Linked DNA regions of Saccharomyces cerevisiae S288C. The gene in region 3 interacts genetically with the main gene of each other region. Each region holds a gene or a part of one and is shown on either strand. Other genes may lie near its edges.

What was found.
Region 1: mutations in PIP2 (region 3) and ADY2 together harm fitness more than expected from each alone (negative genetic interaction), as found in Saccharomyces cerevisiae (one large-scale study listed by BioGRID).
Region 2: mutations in PIP2 (region 3) and NTF2 together harm fitness more than expected from each alone (negative genetic interaction), as found in Saccharomyces cerevisiae (one large-scale study listed by BioGRID).

The regions. Positions count from the first base shown.
Region 1 is NC_001135.5:131,773-135,107, forward strand, and holds ADY2 (Ady2p), read right to left. Parts: upstream 1,353-3,335; coding exon 501-1,352; downstream 1-500. Other genes in the region: putative ATP-dependent permease ADP1, read right to left, coding at 1,952-3,335. UniProt on the Saccharomyces cerevisiae protein: Transporter protein required for ammonia export and acetate uptake and resistance. Necessary for up-regulation and down-regulation of meiotic plaque (MP) component levels in a dependency on external acetate. Has a role in ascus formation.
Region 2 is NC_001137.3:170,596-172,992, reverse strand, and holds NTF2 (Ran GTPase-binding protein NTF2), read right to left. Parts: upstream 879-2,397; coding exon 501-878; downstream 1-500. Other genes in the region: YER010C (bifunctional 4-hydroxy-4-methyl-2-oxoglutarate aldolase/oxaloacetate decarboxylase), read left to right, coding at 1-359; GTP-Rho binding exocyst subunit SEC3, read left to right, coding at 1,175-2,397. UniProt on the Saccharomyces cerevisiae protein: Facilitates protein transport into the nucleus. Interacts with various nucleoporins and with Ran-GDP. Could be part of a multicomponent system of cytosolic factors that assemble at the pore complex during nuclear import.
Region 3 is NC_001147.6:1,016,996-1,026,886, forward strand, and holds PIP2 (oleate-activated transcription factor PIP2), read right to left. Parts: upstream 6,218-9,891; coding exon 3,227-6,217; downstream 1-3,226. Other genes in the region: PRT1 (translation initiation factor eIF3 core subunit b), read right to left, coding at 1-657; PRE10 (proteasome core particle subunit alpha 7), read right to left, coding at 885-1,751; YOR365C (putative flavin adenine dinucleotide transporter), read right to left, coding at 6,466-8,577; SCP1 (Scp1p), read left to right, coding at 9,012-9,614; RAD17 (Rad17p), read left to right, coding at 9,848-9,891. UniProt on the Saccharomyces cerevisiae protein: The PIP2-OAF1 heterodimer acts as a transcriptional activator to induce the transcription of genes encoding proteins involved in fatty acid beta-oxidation, a response called oleic acid induction, when cells grow on fatty acids as sole carbon source.

The sequences.
Region 1 (3,335 bases), on a different chromosome or scaffold from region 3:
GTTACAATGAAAAAGACAAGTCGAATCACATTATGAATGGCAAACGATAGACCTTTCGTTGCCTTTCAATTACATGATATTCGTGGCAACATCTTCTCCGCTAACCTAAAAGTTTTATCAGAAACATATATCTTATTTTTTCTGAAGTAAAATCAAAGTGCAGGGAAGACAAGTAAAGGAGTCAGCAAAAAAGTGAAGTAAACTTATATGTTAACTGTTTATAACCGTACCTTGCTTACATCATCTATATTTTCGTAATCATTTTTGTACATTGTTTATATCTTGTTTTGAAGTTTTAGCTTTGAAAAACATTTAATTGCGAAGTAACATAATGTTATTAATAGTGTACGACTGAAACAGCCATTCTATTTAAACATATAAAAGTACGATTAGTTGGTGTGGTTATATAAGTCATAAAATAATTATCATATTAAAAAATTGAAAAATAAAAAACTACTCTTTTTTATTTCAATAGTTCTCGTTATTAGTAGGTCGTGCTCTTAAAAGATTACCCTTTCAGTAGATGGTAATGGGAATGGACGAGCCAGTACATATGAATTCTGCTTTGTAGCAACACCTGCATATGCGTTGTACCAAGCAATGAAAGCAACAACAACTCCCAGGACACCACCAGCTCTTGTGACACCAAGTCTATTAGCAAAGTGACCAATAGACAACAGTAGGAAAGTTAATGCTAGTAAGAAGAACAACAAAAAGAACATAACAGTGGATTTCATGGTACAAACGGTTAAACCAAACGTAAAGATGGCCCACCCCAACAAATAAAATCCTAAAGCATTATTCAAATCAGATTCATTGTCTTCGTAAGCTTCCAAGATACCAAACCAAGGAATGTAAATTGCAGCGAAACTCAACCAAAACCCACCGTAAGAACATAATGCGGTACCACCAAAAGTATTTTCCAAAGCTATCTCCCAAATACCAGCAATCAATTGCACCAAACCACCATAAAACATAGCACAACCGACGACAACATTAGGAACAGTGATCCCTTGCGCTCTCGCATTGAACATGGACAGCACAAATGTCGTCAACGCGAAGGCTGAAAGACCTAAGGGCGCAGGATTAGCAAATTTGTGCACTGGAGCAGGAGCTAACCCTGGATTCAAGGTACCACCAAAGGCTTGGTATAAGTCGCTCTTCAAAAACTTTTGACGCCCAATATAGATATATTCATTGTTATCACCTCCAGTGTAAATCTTGCCCAACGAATCATGAGATGGACGTTCATCTTCTGCAACGCCATTAACGTCGTTATCATGGGAACTATAGTATCCTGCTGGTGCATTCTCCAAATCTGTGTTTCCGCTCGTTTGTTCCTTGTCAGACATATTATTTGTTTGTATATGAGTTGTTTTGTGGTTGTTTAGTTATATCTGTGTTAGCTGTCGACTATTTGCCTTTTTCTTATAAACAGATGCTAGTAGTTTCTGTTGTATTGTTATTGCTATTGGACGATATATAAAATGAACCTATAGCAAGATCTCAGGGAAATACGATCCAACCAAGGTGCTTTATATACAGCTTGGTGTCTCTGACAGGTTGGAGTACAGAGGAGAAGGCGCCATAGCCGCCCAACCCGCGATAACGAAAAAAAGCTGTAAGAAAATGCAGTCTTCCCCAACGTTTGTTACCCCAACAATACCGAAATAGCCGCCCAACCGCAAATCTGGCAAAAAATCTTTTCGTATCTCGCTGCAGATGACCTTCCAACCCGCCCCTTTTTGTAGTCACGCCTTTAAGGGCCCTTGTTTGGCTTGCTCACATGGGGCTACACGTAAAAACCGTAGCTTGGAGAACCACTCAGCCGCTCGCCTATTCCACGGAGCTCCGGATCAACGGGCAGTGGACCCTCTCGAAAATAAGGAAAGTTGCGGGGCCAAAAATTATTATTTCTTATGTAAAAGAAGAGACTATATACGACGCCTATCTACTTTTGTTCCACAACTATCCACTTAAGGGCTAGATACCCCATTATTAAAAACACCACATTAAACAGAGCCAGGATCTTGATGTCAAATACAAGGTTTTGGACAACAAATCCAAATGTGCTCAAGATAGTAGCGCCTGGAACTTCAATATTTAAGCCGTACTTTCTCTCTTTCAGCATCAATGTTTTGACCTCATTGATCAATAAAGATTCGTAGGCGTAGTAAAACACAGAGAAGTTTTTCAGGTACTTGAAGGCCACGTTTGTAATATTCTTAGTATTGATAAATAGTCCGCTAAACAGTAGTGAGCCCAAAAGCACCAGCACGCTTAATATTATGGAGTTATTCAAGTCTTCAAAAATTATGCCGATGGTTAGGATTTCCAACGATATCCCAAGGTTAAACAGTATAAGGATTCCAATACATTTAAAAAAAGCATTGTCTTTCATGTTTAAACCAGTCATTGGGTAAACAATCAATGACAAGAGTATAGGTGGTACAACACGTAGCGGGACCACTTCGCTCATTATCTTACTAATGTAGTATGCAAGTGGCGAGTAATAGTTATTGGATCTTTCTTTTATGAAAATGATCCTTTCCAGAGCGAACGAGCTGAGACCTGTGAATGTAACAAAACCGAAGTACGTTAGTATAAAGAAGAACAGCCCCATTCTGTTCTGAAAACCGCTGATATCATTGGAGACGTTGTAATATAGTGTTCCCAAGAATAAACTCAATAGGATCGTCAGTAAATAATTACCCAATAATAGTTTAGGGTTTCTGTACATGTTTTTAAAACTTCTTGAATTCAATATCGATAACTGTTGCAGAAAACCAGCAGATTGTTGACCTGTGGGTAAATCTCCATTCAAAACGTTACTTTCCTCATCACCTTCGCTTAAAACTTCCTCGATCTCCTGTGAAAGCTCTGCATAATAGACGCTATCTTTATATTTATCGTGTAGTAGTTTGGTATTTAAGTCAATCTCAGTAGCACCTCGCCTTCCATCTGTTCCCTCTACATCTTCTTCATCTCTGAGTAAAGATCTGATCTCATCTCTATGAGCTGCAAGATGAGCCCACTCTCTCTGTGTTGTACCATCACTGCTAGTAAATGTTGTTTGGTGTATCGTATTATCAATATCGTTAGTATCCGTACCAGCTTCTAAATCGGAAATGTTTCTGATTCTTCTCCTTTTCCCCTGAGGACCGGCTTCAAAAGTAATATCAATCAAATAATCAGCAATATTATAGTTGTCCGGACAGATATATCCCTCATTTCTCAAAAATTCTGACACTTTTTTGGCATTTCCGGAATAGACCATCTCACCTTTACTTAACAGGACCAATTTATCGAATAAATAAAATATATTTGATCTTGGC
Region 2 (2,397 bases), on a different chromosome or scaffold from region 3:
TAGTCTTTGGACGCATAAGAGATGTGGATGAACACCGGACTTTAAACCATCCCGTTTTTGCTTACGGTGTTGGATCTTGCGCTCCAAAGGCTGTCGTTAAAGCCGTAGGCACTAACGTACAGTTGAAAATCTTAACGAGTGATGGCGTAACCCAAACAATATGTCCTGGTGATTATATTGCAGGTGACAATAATGGAATAGTACGCATTCCTGTTCAAGAGACTGACATTTCAAAATTAGTTACCTATATCGAAAAGTCAATTGAAGTGGATTTACTTGTCTCTGAAGATATTAAGAATGGTATTCCCGCCAAACAAGCTCAAAATGATCGAAGATCAGTATTAAAGAAATACATTTAAAAACGCTATCTTCATACATATATATATATATATATCTTCTTTATCGCTATCGCCTTATACATCGTTAGCTAAGCATCTTCAATTATGCTAAACAATATTCGAAAATGAAAATACATGTTTCTGTGGTGACTTAAAAAATCCTTAAGCAGAGTAATTCAAACGGAAGATATCGTTAAACACGTAGTAAGAGTTTCCATCAGGAATCAAATGGAACACTTGAGAGAAACGCTGTGGATTTTGTTCTTCGTCAATCAACAGATCACCAGTGATCATGACTAAGACATCGCCATTTGGGGAAGCAGGTTGCGCATCCAAAGTAGTGATACGATGTTGGACCTTTTGAAATGGCAAAGATACTAATTTCTCAACAATGTCCTTTGCACCTTGCAATTGACTAGTCTCGAATGTTAGCATAGATTCATTTCTGTACAAGTTACCCAATTGGCTTCTATCGGTATCAAATTGATTATAGTAAAACTGGGTGAAGTTTTGGGCCAAAGTGTTAAAGTCGAGAGACATTATAAAGATAATAGTATTAAAACCTGGGTTCCTTAGGGGGTATTGTACACTAAAAACTAAAAAGTACTTACTTATCAGCCTAAGTCTCACCTTGCCAAGTCAGAAAATTTTTCGTTGCTTTTTGAGAACCACGCTTGTGGGACTATGTCACCCGGTATTAATGGGCAAATACTAACTTGGTGAACACTTATAGCAATAACAGTATCATAGCTTATGAAGAAAAAGCGGTCATAAAGACTGAGTCGGTGCCAGATATCTCCAGCTAGGTAACAAGGCTACGCAATTTATTCTATATTATGAGGTCCTCGAAGTCTCCTTTTAAAAGGAAGTCTCACAGTCGTGAGACATCACACGATGAAAACACATCGTTTTTCCACAAGAGAACAATATCCGGTAGCAGTGCTCACCATTCTAGAAACGTCAGTCAAGGTGCAGTACCCTCTTCCGCACCACCTGTTTCTGGTGGAAATTATTCGCATAAGAGAAACGTGTCGAGAGCTTCAAATTCCTCTCAAACTTCGAATTTTTTAGCCGAACAATATGAAAGGGATAGGAAAGCCATAATTAATTGCTGCTTTTCCAGACCCGACCATAAGACAGGTGAACCGCCGAATAATTATATTACACATGTCCGGATTATAGAAGATTCAAAATTCCCTAGTTCAAGACCTCCTCCAGATTCAAAATTGGAGAACAAAAAGAAAAGACTCCTTATTTTGAGTGCCAAGCCCAACAATGCCAAGCTAATACAAATTCATAAAGCAAGAGAAAACTCAGACGGCTCTTTTCAAATTGGTAGAACTTGGCAGTTGACCGAACTAGTAAGAGTAGAGAAGGACCTGGAGATATCTGAAGGCTTCATTCTTACCATGAGTAAAAAATACTACTGGGAAACGAATTCTGCGAAGGAAAGAACTGTTTTCATTAAATCTCTAATTACTCTATACATTCAAACATTCGAAGGTCATGTCCCTGAATTGGTCAATTGGGATTTATCCCTTTTTTATCTTGACGAGAGGAGTTATCAAAGAGCAGTCATCACAAATCGCCCCGGTTCCGTATCTCCAATAAAGTCACCTACAAGTAATTTCACGACAAACACTACCCAATCGGTGGGCTCTGTCCCCTTTTCAGCACCTACTGAGAGGACAAGAAGGTCTGAAACAGAAAGCGTTAATCCAGTGTCAACGCCTGCAAGCGTGGAATATCATGCAGGAATGAAATCTCTAAATAAGGCCCCCTATTCTTCCAATTCGACATTGAATGAAGTGAATAAAAGATACGAGTTAGAGCAACAACAGCAACAAGAAGAGGCTGAACTGAGACGATTAGAAGAGCAAAAAAGACTTCAGTTACAAAAGGAAAATGAGATGAAAAGATTAGAAGAGGAAAGAAGAATAAAGCAGGAGGAGAGGAAAAGGCAAATGGAATTGGAACACCAACGACAACTCGAAGAAGAGGAACGAAAACGTCAAATGGAACTGGAGGCTAAAAAGCAAATGGAGTTGAAACGTCAACG
Region 3 (9,891 bases):
ATTGAACATAGAGTTCCAGAACACACTAGTCTTCACGTCATCTTGTAATACAAACTGATCTCTCACTTTGTCGTCCATTAACCAGGATTTTAAGGAACTAGATGGAACGAATGTAGGCATATCAGGCTCCCTGAATTCGGTGTCAAAGTCGTCAGAATTATATCTTTCAACATCTTTCATAGTATAAAGAAACAAACGATGTTTTAAATCCAGTCTTTTACCGTGGAAACTCTTGATAATTTTTTTAGCATCGTTCATTGAGCCACATTCCACGAAGAGAAAACCTTTCGTCTTACCAGTGGCTTCATCAATTGGAAATTCCATGTTAACAACTTTACCAGCTTTGGAAAACAAAGAAGTCAAAGCCTTTTTCAAAACAGGAACTTTGGCGGATGGGATGACTGGGGCACCATTAACGACGATGTACTGATCGAAATTGAATTCTTCAGTGACCTTGTATTGTTCTTCCAGGTCGGAAAAATCAATGTCGTCAACAGGGATGTCCTCTAGCTTAATGTCTTCGAAAGTCTCGGTAGTCATTTGAATTATCTTTGACCTTTTGAGCTGTGTGTTGCGAGATACTATACTATGTACTGAGATGTTATTGAAATATAATTCGTAAATATTTTTCAATGTGCGTGGAAGAAAATTTTTCATTAGTTTCCCGCTATCCAAAATATGGAAAGGAGGGTAATAGGTGTCAGAAGAATAAAAGTATTAGGCGATCAAGTAATAATGATAAGATGGTGCACAATGAGAAGTTTATCTAGTTACGTAAAATGTAATGGAAGGTACTAAAATGTATTTTTTGTTTCGCGGCGTTACACGTGAGTTCATATTATTTCAACTCTTTGGTTCTTCTTAACGTATTATCAGAATGTCACCTATTCTAGGTGAATATCACCCTCTTGGTCAGTGGTAGCGTTTGCATTCGTAGCCACTGGAGCATTTTCATCATCACTGGACATGACGTTATCACTGTCATCTTCGTCCTCGTCATCATCGCCGTTAATTTCTTTTTGGGCAAAATCGATAGCTTCCTGTAGCAGATCGCCCTTAACGAACTTGTGCAGACCATTCGTTTCCGACAGTGAACACCAACTTATTTCCAATTCAAAATCCTTTTCCTTGTTATCCTCGTGTGCCAAATAGATAATCTTTGCAGCTTGTTTAACGGCCTCTCTTGCTGAAAGACCTTCTGGATGATGGTCAACTAATTTTTCCAATTCAGCCTTCGCAGATTGCCTACCTTTCCCAGTGGCAGCCCCCTTGTAGCCCCAATAAGAGCCACTTGGTTCCAACATGTAAAGATGAGCACCATTTTTATCTACACCACCAAAGATGGTACTGACCCCGAACGGTCTAACACTGTTGTATAAAGTGTGCGCCTGCACATATTGTCCTAAACGGTCTGCAAATGCAGGAATGGGAATGGGCGTTTTATACAGCTTTTTGAAGCTGGCGGCTTCTTCACGACCACGATTAACCAGGTGCCTACCATCAGGAATCAAACCTGAATAAACGCAACCGATGTGACGGTCTACGACTTGAATCTTGACATTTTTTTGTGGGACCAGCAGTTTAGACGTAATGAGCTTTTCCACTGCAAAGACTACACCGTCGTTACACTTTATACCGATTGATGTGGTACCGTTTTCGACTGCTTTGACGGCATACTCTACTTGGAAATTTCTACCATCGGGGGAAAAAACACTATTGGAAAGATCGTAACCAGTACCAATTGATGTCATTGCTGAAGAGTTATGCTTTTGTTAATTTGATGATGCGACGCTCGAATGTGTTTGAAAGCTTTACAACTGCACTACCAAATAAACCCTCTACCGCCACTATTACCACTTACTTTCTTATTTTTGCCACCGATTTAGAGGGGCGGCGAAATCTTCGTTAAACGTGATTTAGCTATCGGAACCCATTATAAATTGTGAGGAAGCTTACCAACTCATAAGTGGAATAAAGACACAGGCAACACTTTTCAGAAGCAATGTCAGCAATGATTCAGAAAAGTGACCCCATCAGGGTCGAAATCTGAGTGCTCAGATTATCTCTTCAAAGGGTAAATTACGGGTAGGACTACATATACAGAGAACTTCTGGGACCTGGGAAATACTGTTCTTTCTAGTGTGTATACATGGGAATAGCTGCATATTTCCAGACAGTTTAGATGTTACCTTTGTTTAAAGTTAGAGTATTTTTCACACCGATGATTACGAAGTCACACATTCGCATCCTGCGGTATTGTCATTGACAACGCGTAAAAAAACATATACTTAACGGAGGCCGAAGGAGATGAGAAACAATTGAAGAAAAGGAAAGGTAATATTTATTTAAATAGTCGTTTTCAAACCAAAGCCCAGCAATATTTTTCATCACGTCTAATTGGCAGGGAAAATAGTAGTACGAATACTTGATAGGATTGCAGAAGATCTTGTACATAAATGGCCTATTATAGAGAGTCACGCTGAACACGCGGCGGTAGCTTCAAATCTTTCTCTGCATTAAGTTGCTAGAGCTTGGTCTGCCCATTATATGTTCACTACCATCAGAAATTGTGCCTATGATTGTCTATCTTCACTTTTTTTTTTTTTTTGAACTTCCAAGCTGGTCGTGCTGCTATATTTATTTATACGTGTGATTTCGTCTTGCTAACATTAACATTTTTCTTCTTAAAACACACAACGGCGAAATGATTCGTATCACATGTTTTTCTATCGTCTGAGCTGTCAATGTTTTATAACCTAGACATTAAAAGTTATATAATTAAGGTGGGTTCGTCTTTGGAGGAGGTGCTTCCTTCTTGTTTAGGACTTTCATACTGGTAATGCTTTATAAGCACGGCCGTTGTTTTAGTTTCAGATCTTCCTATTGTAAATGGAATAAACTGGCGTTCCTACCGTGATGGCAGCGATATTACCTACCTTATATACTGCGCTTTTAACTTATGTATAATATATATATTAAATAAAATACAAAACAAAGTCTTGAATTTCTTTTCTATCTCTGCAATAGTTGACATTATTTCCAGTCCCAATTCAATGCGCTATCAAAAGGCACCATAATTTACAGTATATTATTTGAGCCATATCTAAGCGGAAAGCTCACAAGTTCTTGTCATGATACAACCTGATAGAATAACTATGTCGACACTCTACCGTATTAGGCGCAATGAAGTGGCCGTATACATCTCAGGAAAACTGGAAAAGACTTCCTAGTCGTTCTGGAAAAGTAGGTCATAATCGAAGAAATCAAGGCTACCAAAAATATCGGGAACATCCATGGATATGTCCAAAGAAGACATGGGAGGGTCATAGTAGTTTTTAAAATTACTCGGTAACTTAACATTGTCATTGTTATTAATGTTCGAACCACTGTTATTGTAGTTATTGTTTATCGGCATAAAGTTTAGATTAGGAGCGGCACGGTTACTTTCACTCGAACCAATTGACGGAGGCATGTTTTCCTCATTATTTTGGTTACTAATATTGTGTGCTAAGCTATAAGTGGAGGCATTACCAACATTTGTAGGGTCATTTGAGCTGCTGTACGGTGGTACACTCTCATTTTCCACGCTGGAGTTGAGTAAAAGTTCAATTGTGGGTGTATTATCTTTCATGTTTGGTTTTGATGGATTCAGAGAATTTTGTGGGTCAGCAACACCGATGTTTTTTATTCTGTCAAATTCTTTGATGATTTGGTATAATTGATCAAGGGTAAAGTTAACAGTGAGATTTTTGCCCTTTAGTCTATCAATTAAATGGTCAGACTTGTCCAAGTTAATTCCAAGTGTCAACTCCAACATTGTGGCAATTTTTTTGGTAGTCAAGTCTTTGTCTACTTTGACAAACAAACCAGAAAATAATTGACCTTTCCTCAGCCTTTGAATGAATACGTCAAACAAGGTCAACATCTTGAAAATGTAGAAATATTTAAATCTCAGGTTTTGGGACGCAAGTAAATATACTTCCAACAAAAGCCTCTCGAAGTTCTCCTTGATAGTGTCCAATGACTTTATTTTCTCCTTTATTTCTGGGAGGTCACTAATGTCACCTCTGGCATTGCATTCGTTACATTTGACCAGAAGCATATTTTTGGCCAGCTCTACCCGCATGATGATGACCAAAAGGGTAAACATCGTGGTAGGAACAGCCAATTGAATAACTTTTGTAGTGATGAAACAAACTAAAGAAGAAAGAACTTTCTCGTAACTGCCATTGAAATACAGGAAAAAAAATCTGATTAGGGAAATGGTGTCGGCACAACATTGAAAAAAATACTTATAGAAGAAGGATAAGCATTCGCTTCTCTCCATTGCAAGTGTTTCAAAATATAACATCAGCGCTATTGAGGCCCTTAACATCATTAATTTACCCAAGATCTGGCCCGATAAACTTATAGAATTCAAAATTGAATTGAACGTTAGTTTTTGAAATGTCTTCTCTTCGTCGTAGATGTTAATATCCACACTTCTTAGCTGAAATTTGTTTTTTAAAAGTTCATTGGCTTTAACGCGTAAAGTTTCTAGTGTATCCATTGGAACCGAACCACTGTATGAAATGGTTATATTATTCAAATCAGACAAGAATAATGCTAATTGAGCCCTATGGAAAAAAATCTCATGGATTTCGAGCAGTTGCTCATCCGATTCGGAACCTGTTAGATCCTTCTTAACCCTTTTTTTATAGATTTCTACACAATTGGGATCCCGAACGTCAATGAAAAGATCAATCATTGAAAGGGGTGAGACCAATAGTCTACCCTTCAGGCTTGACTCCAGAGTTGCCATAGAGATAATTGATAGCCACTGTATCCTTCGTAAATTTAGCAGCCTTTTGTCTGAAGCTTCGGGGTGGTTCAAGGCTGGAAAGTCAGATGGGTCACGATGTAATCCGATAGACGTCCCTATTAGTATGACAAGGTTAATTATAACATCCGACGGTTGTTCTAACAGAAAATCACCCTCAGTTGGGGAAAAAACAAATGCACACCAGATATAGAGTAAGCATGAAATGGTATTTTCATTTGCACAAGCACACCAATTTTCCGATGCAAGTATCTGCTGCGCTAGGAAAATTACTTCGCTTTGAATCGGATATTGCTCTAGCATCTCTTTGGTAATATACGGACTGTAATCTTCAATCTTATCTTCTATAAATGTCAAAGAGATATACGCGATCCTCAAAATTAACAGTAAGATACACAGATTCTCCATTTTATTTCGTATAAGGGTTGTGCCCATCGATAGTCGTACCTCTCCTAATTCATTATACTGTACTGTTGTGTGAATTGATTCCTCCAACATTTCCTTGCTGGCGAAAGGGATTAGGTGGAAAATATGCTCAAAGAAATGAGAGAGGTACTGTTCAATGATTGCCTTGGGAGGGAGCGTTTTCTCGATTTCATTGATGTAGCCTTTCAACAAATCAGAATAGTCGTTTTCGGTGGGGCATGTATCCTCTAAATATGACGATTCCCTGTTACTGTATAATAAAGAAATTACTTTATTTACCGCAATCTGTTCTTCAGGGTTCTTTCTCTGTAGTAGCCTGTCCGTAAACTCGTTAATGGATTTTCTTTGTGATTCGTATTTTGAGTTTTTCAATAGAACCTCTCTCATTTTTACAACGTTATTCTTTACGCATGGCTGTGTCCTCGACCTACTAATATCTGCATTTAAAGCAGGAATCATGGAGTTTCTGGAACAACTTAGAAGCACGGAGGCAATTAATGTCTTCAGAAAGGTATCTTGAAATATTAAGTACTTCTCAGATAAAGGGTTGATTTCTCTTTTCATCACTTTGGTCATAATCAATCTGGGATGAGTCTTATAAAGACTTATTGGAAAGCTATTTTCCTGCAAGCTTTTACATGTCCTTCTAGCAGCTAATTCTTCAGTCGGCCTTTTCAATGCAGTGTAGAAGTCTTTCTTTTCTTGAGTCAAATCCACGGTTTTATTTCTCCAGTAACGAATCTCCTTTTTCAGTCTCGCTATGGTGGCATCCTTATTCGGATTCCTAGGGGCCGCCTGTCTGGCGACATCATATATACAAAAGAGGTTTTGTTTAGTACATCTGCCACATCTAGGTTTTTCCTGGTCACACTTCGTCTTTGCTTTTCTACAAGCTTGGCAAACAAAAGAAAGTCTATTCCTTTTTTTACCTACTCTATTCATTGCCGGTGATGATTCGTCTGTAAAGTACATCTTTTATCGAAGAAATTTTGTTCAGCAAGATCAGAAAGTGATATTTCATCCGCTCTATACGTTTCAGTAGATTTTCTTTATCTGACCTCTATTAAGTCCTAACAACGCTTTATGTTTTCTTCGTTGGAGATACTCCGGAGATTATATTTAGTTCCGAGATGGTCTTACAACCTTTCAAATTCCAAAATCAGAAGAAATTTTGCAGGAAGGCAAATCCTACCGGACGTATTAGTCACGATTTTATTTATTCACATATACAGATATTCACAGTTCGAATTTTGTTTACAAAGGTCAATCTTATTGATCTGCGGCTTTTGAATACCGTTGCATTCAAGAACGGCTTTCTTCATTTCGTGCAGTTCCGGGACCGATTCGTAAACCGCATCATCATCCATTTCACCCTTCAAAAAGGATCGTCTTTGATCATCAATAGGTTTGTATCTTGTATCAGGGTGTTTGTAGTATATTGCCATCGTAAAGCATATCAATATGAAAATGAAGAGATACAAAGAAAACGCTGCATTTAGAAAAAAGAAAATTAGTCCCATAAAAGAAGACACAGCTATGGGCTGCTGAAATAAGTTACTGAAAAATAAGAAAAAAAATGCGTTCACTAAATTCAGTGAATGGATACTAATATTGAAGAAGTTGGTTGTTTTATCCATGTAAGGTTGCATCCAGCACAAAAGGATGAGATAGATAGCTTCATTCAAAAAGATACCAATAGATTGAGATTTTCCGTGCGCTTGTAGAGAACCCACTAGTATAGACCTAATAAGCATGTGTGCAGAGGTCGCCATTAACCACCAGACTTTTGTAGACTTAAATTGAGAGGAAAGAAAGCCGAACTTGTTTAAGAATTTCGAGCTACTGAAGAGTAAATAGCTTGGCTGGCCAAATATTTTCTTAGACTTGATCATCTTCCTCCATATTCTTACGCTTGCGGATGATAACAAGACTGTAATCAAAATGAAAACAACGATTGCCTCCACTAAGGTAGCTGCTGAGTCTGTTTGAGTGAACTCCCAAAGTGCTAAAAGAGATATCTCAGAATAAATTATGAACACCGCTCGATATAGTGTCCCCTGTAAAAGTGCACTCCAATGTGTGTGGAAGTGTAAATATCTAATTGTCTTAACTTTAAACTTCTGAAGTACTTTCAAAAATGTTTTGAAGATAATAAACGCCAATATTATCATACAAATGAATATGATAAAGAAGGAAAATCCCGTTAAAAAGAAATTTGATATCTCAATTCCAGCTTTGTAAGACACCCTTTTAATACCTCTTAATACTAAAATTTTTGACAGATAGTCATTTGAATTTCTCAAATTTGAAGTGTATAATAAATCATTTTTTTGGGAACTTTCAATACCATTTAAATTACTTGACGCTGATATGATTTTACTGTTCAAGGATCTTTTTTGAACACTGATCGATAAAACTTCTTTATTGCGGTATACAACGGTGGGGGACCCAGATGTTGCGACAACATACCAGTCAAATAACCGCTGCATAAAATTTATCCTTATTATTCCCATTGACCATTGGAAATTTTGAGTCCAAGCGGCGACAATAGGCGGTAAAAATGATACACTAATCATAGCTAAAATAGCCAAATTTTGGAAATATAAAAGTAGCGATATTGAATAAGACGCCAGTCTTGTTGAAGTAACCGTATAACCTTGCAAAGAATAAACCACTGAAAACATAATTCCGGAAATTGTCAATATCACTAGATTCCACGATAAATACTCTGTTTGGACTGTTCTACCATTTGATAACATCACTTGTACACATGCTAGAGGTTTGGTAAATTCTTTATCAATAGTGGAGTATGCTGTCACCACAATATATGCGTCTAAGTCAGGTATATTATATGTTATGCTTGGTATTTGGCTAGCTACCGCGGCCTCAACATAATAACTTCCCATGAGTTCTATATTTCCCGGCTTCAACGGACATAATAAATTATCTTGGATTCCACATAGATCAAAAACTTTGGTATAAACATTGAGACCATATGCAATCAATTCTGCCTTGATGGTTATGTTTTCGCTCATAATTGTTTGTGCTTCAACATTAAAGAATAGAGTATTATTTCTCGGGAAAAAAGCAGCTTCGAAATACGATGCAGAAAACTGTGAGTCTTTAGCACAAGTCAACAGAGCCGAAGTCCTTAGATATTCTTTAGTATATGCATCAAATGGTACTGGGAATAGAGTCGATGCGTTGTTCAGTAGTGTAAAAGAGTTAGAAACCTGGAAAGTAGAGCTGTTAATGGAAATAGCGTGTATTTGTCGGAAGATTGCTAGCAAAACAAAAATCCGAGATAAAGAGAAGACTTTAATGGGAAGCATACTTATTCTCTTTACATCTATAAATCAGAGAGGTTAAATATTATTTAAAATAGCATTACGACTTTGCTTCATCATCCTTCCAAAATATTGACACTGCATCATTTTTTAAATGTGTCAGTAATTCGGGCACAAAAATATAAATGGACCGCCATGAACTAAAGCTGTCGTCGATATGGATCGCTCCATAGCAGCATTATAAAAATTAAAAATGCATCAATACCATGCTACAGTAATAACAAAATACAGCATGGATTACCACTACATATTCATCATGTCATGCATTATAGTTGTAACATATGCTGAACACCCATTCATCACGTGTAATTGGACATCCGTGGAGTTCCAAAAGGAGTATAAACGCAAATAGTAAAGCTAAGATATAAGTAGTGTCTAAGTAAATGACTTCTTTGTAAGCGTACAGCTAAAGTTTACCGATGAGTTACGATAAGAAGGCAGATGTCACATCCTTAGATGAAGATTTGAGACAACTAAGAGAAAGCAAATTTTCACCGGAAGCAATTCAAAATATCAAAATATGGGTATATAAATCTGTCCTAAAAGAGATAGCTCCTCCTGGAGACTTATTGGAATGCTTGAAAGATGGAACAGTCCTATGTAAGCTGGCAAATATTTTATATGAAGCAGACACAGGAGAAGCTAACCATATTAGTTGGAAGAGCTCTAAAATGCCATTTGTTCAAATGGATCAAATTTCCCAATTTTTATCATTTTCGAGAAAATATGGTGTGCCTGAAGATGAACTGTTTCAGACAATTGATCTTTTTGAGAAAAAGGATCCTGCCATTGTTTTCCAAACGTTGAAGTCACTATCTCGTTACGCCAACAAAAAACATACAGATAGATTTCCAGTTCTAGGACCACAACTGTCAACAAAGAAGCCAAGACCCCCGGTTAAGTCTAAACCAAAACATCTACAAGATGGTACTGGATGGAGCACTTTTGAATACGGTTATATGAAAGGTGCATCTCAGGCTACTGAAGGAGTGGTGTTAGGACAACGGAGAGATATAGTTTAGAGAATTATTATTAACACTTTCTCTGGCAGAAATTGATAAATAAACATTTAAGAACCCTATATACGCAACCAAAGTTCCTTTGATATATTTTAGTTTTCCATCAAAGTTTTCCTACATAAACACTAAGGTGGCTAGAGACGCGTAACAAAAGTTAACGTTACCGGTAAAAATGTGATTATACAAATCAATCTCACAGAACGGTGTGGAAACAAAGTAGTTGAAGGATTTCAACTATGCGAATCAACAGTGAGCTAGCGAACAAGTTTTCTGCCTCAAC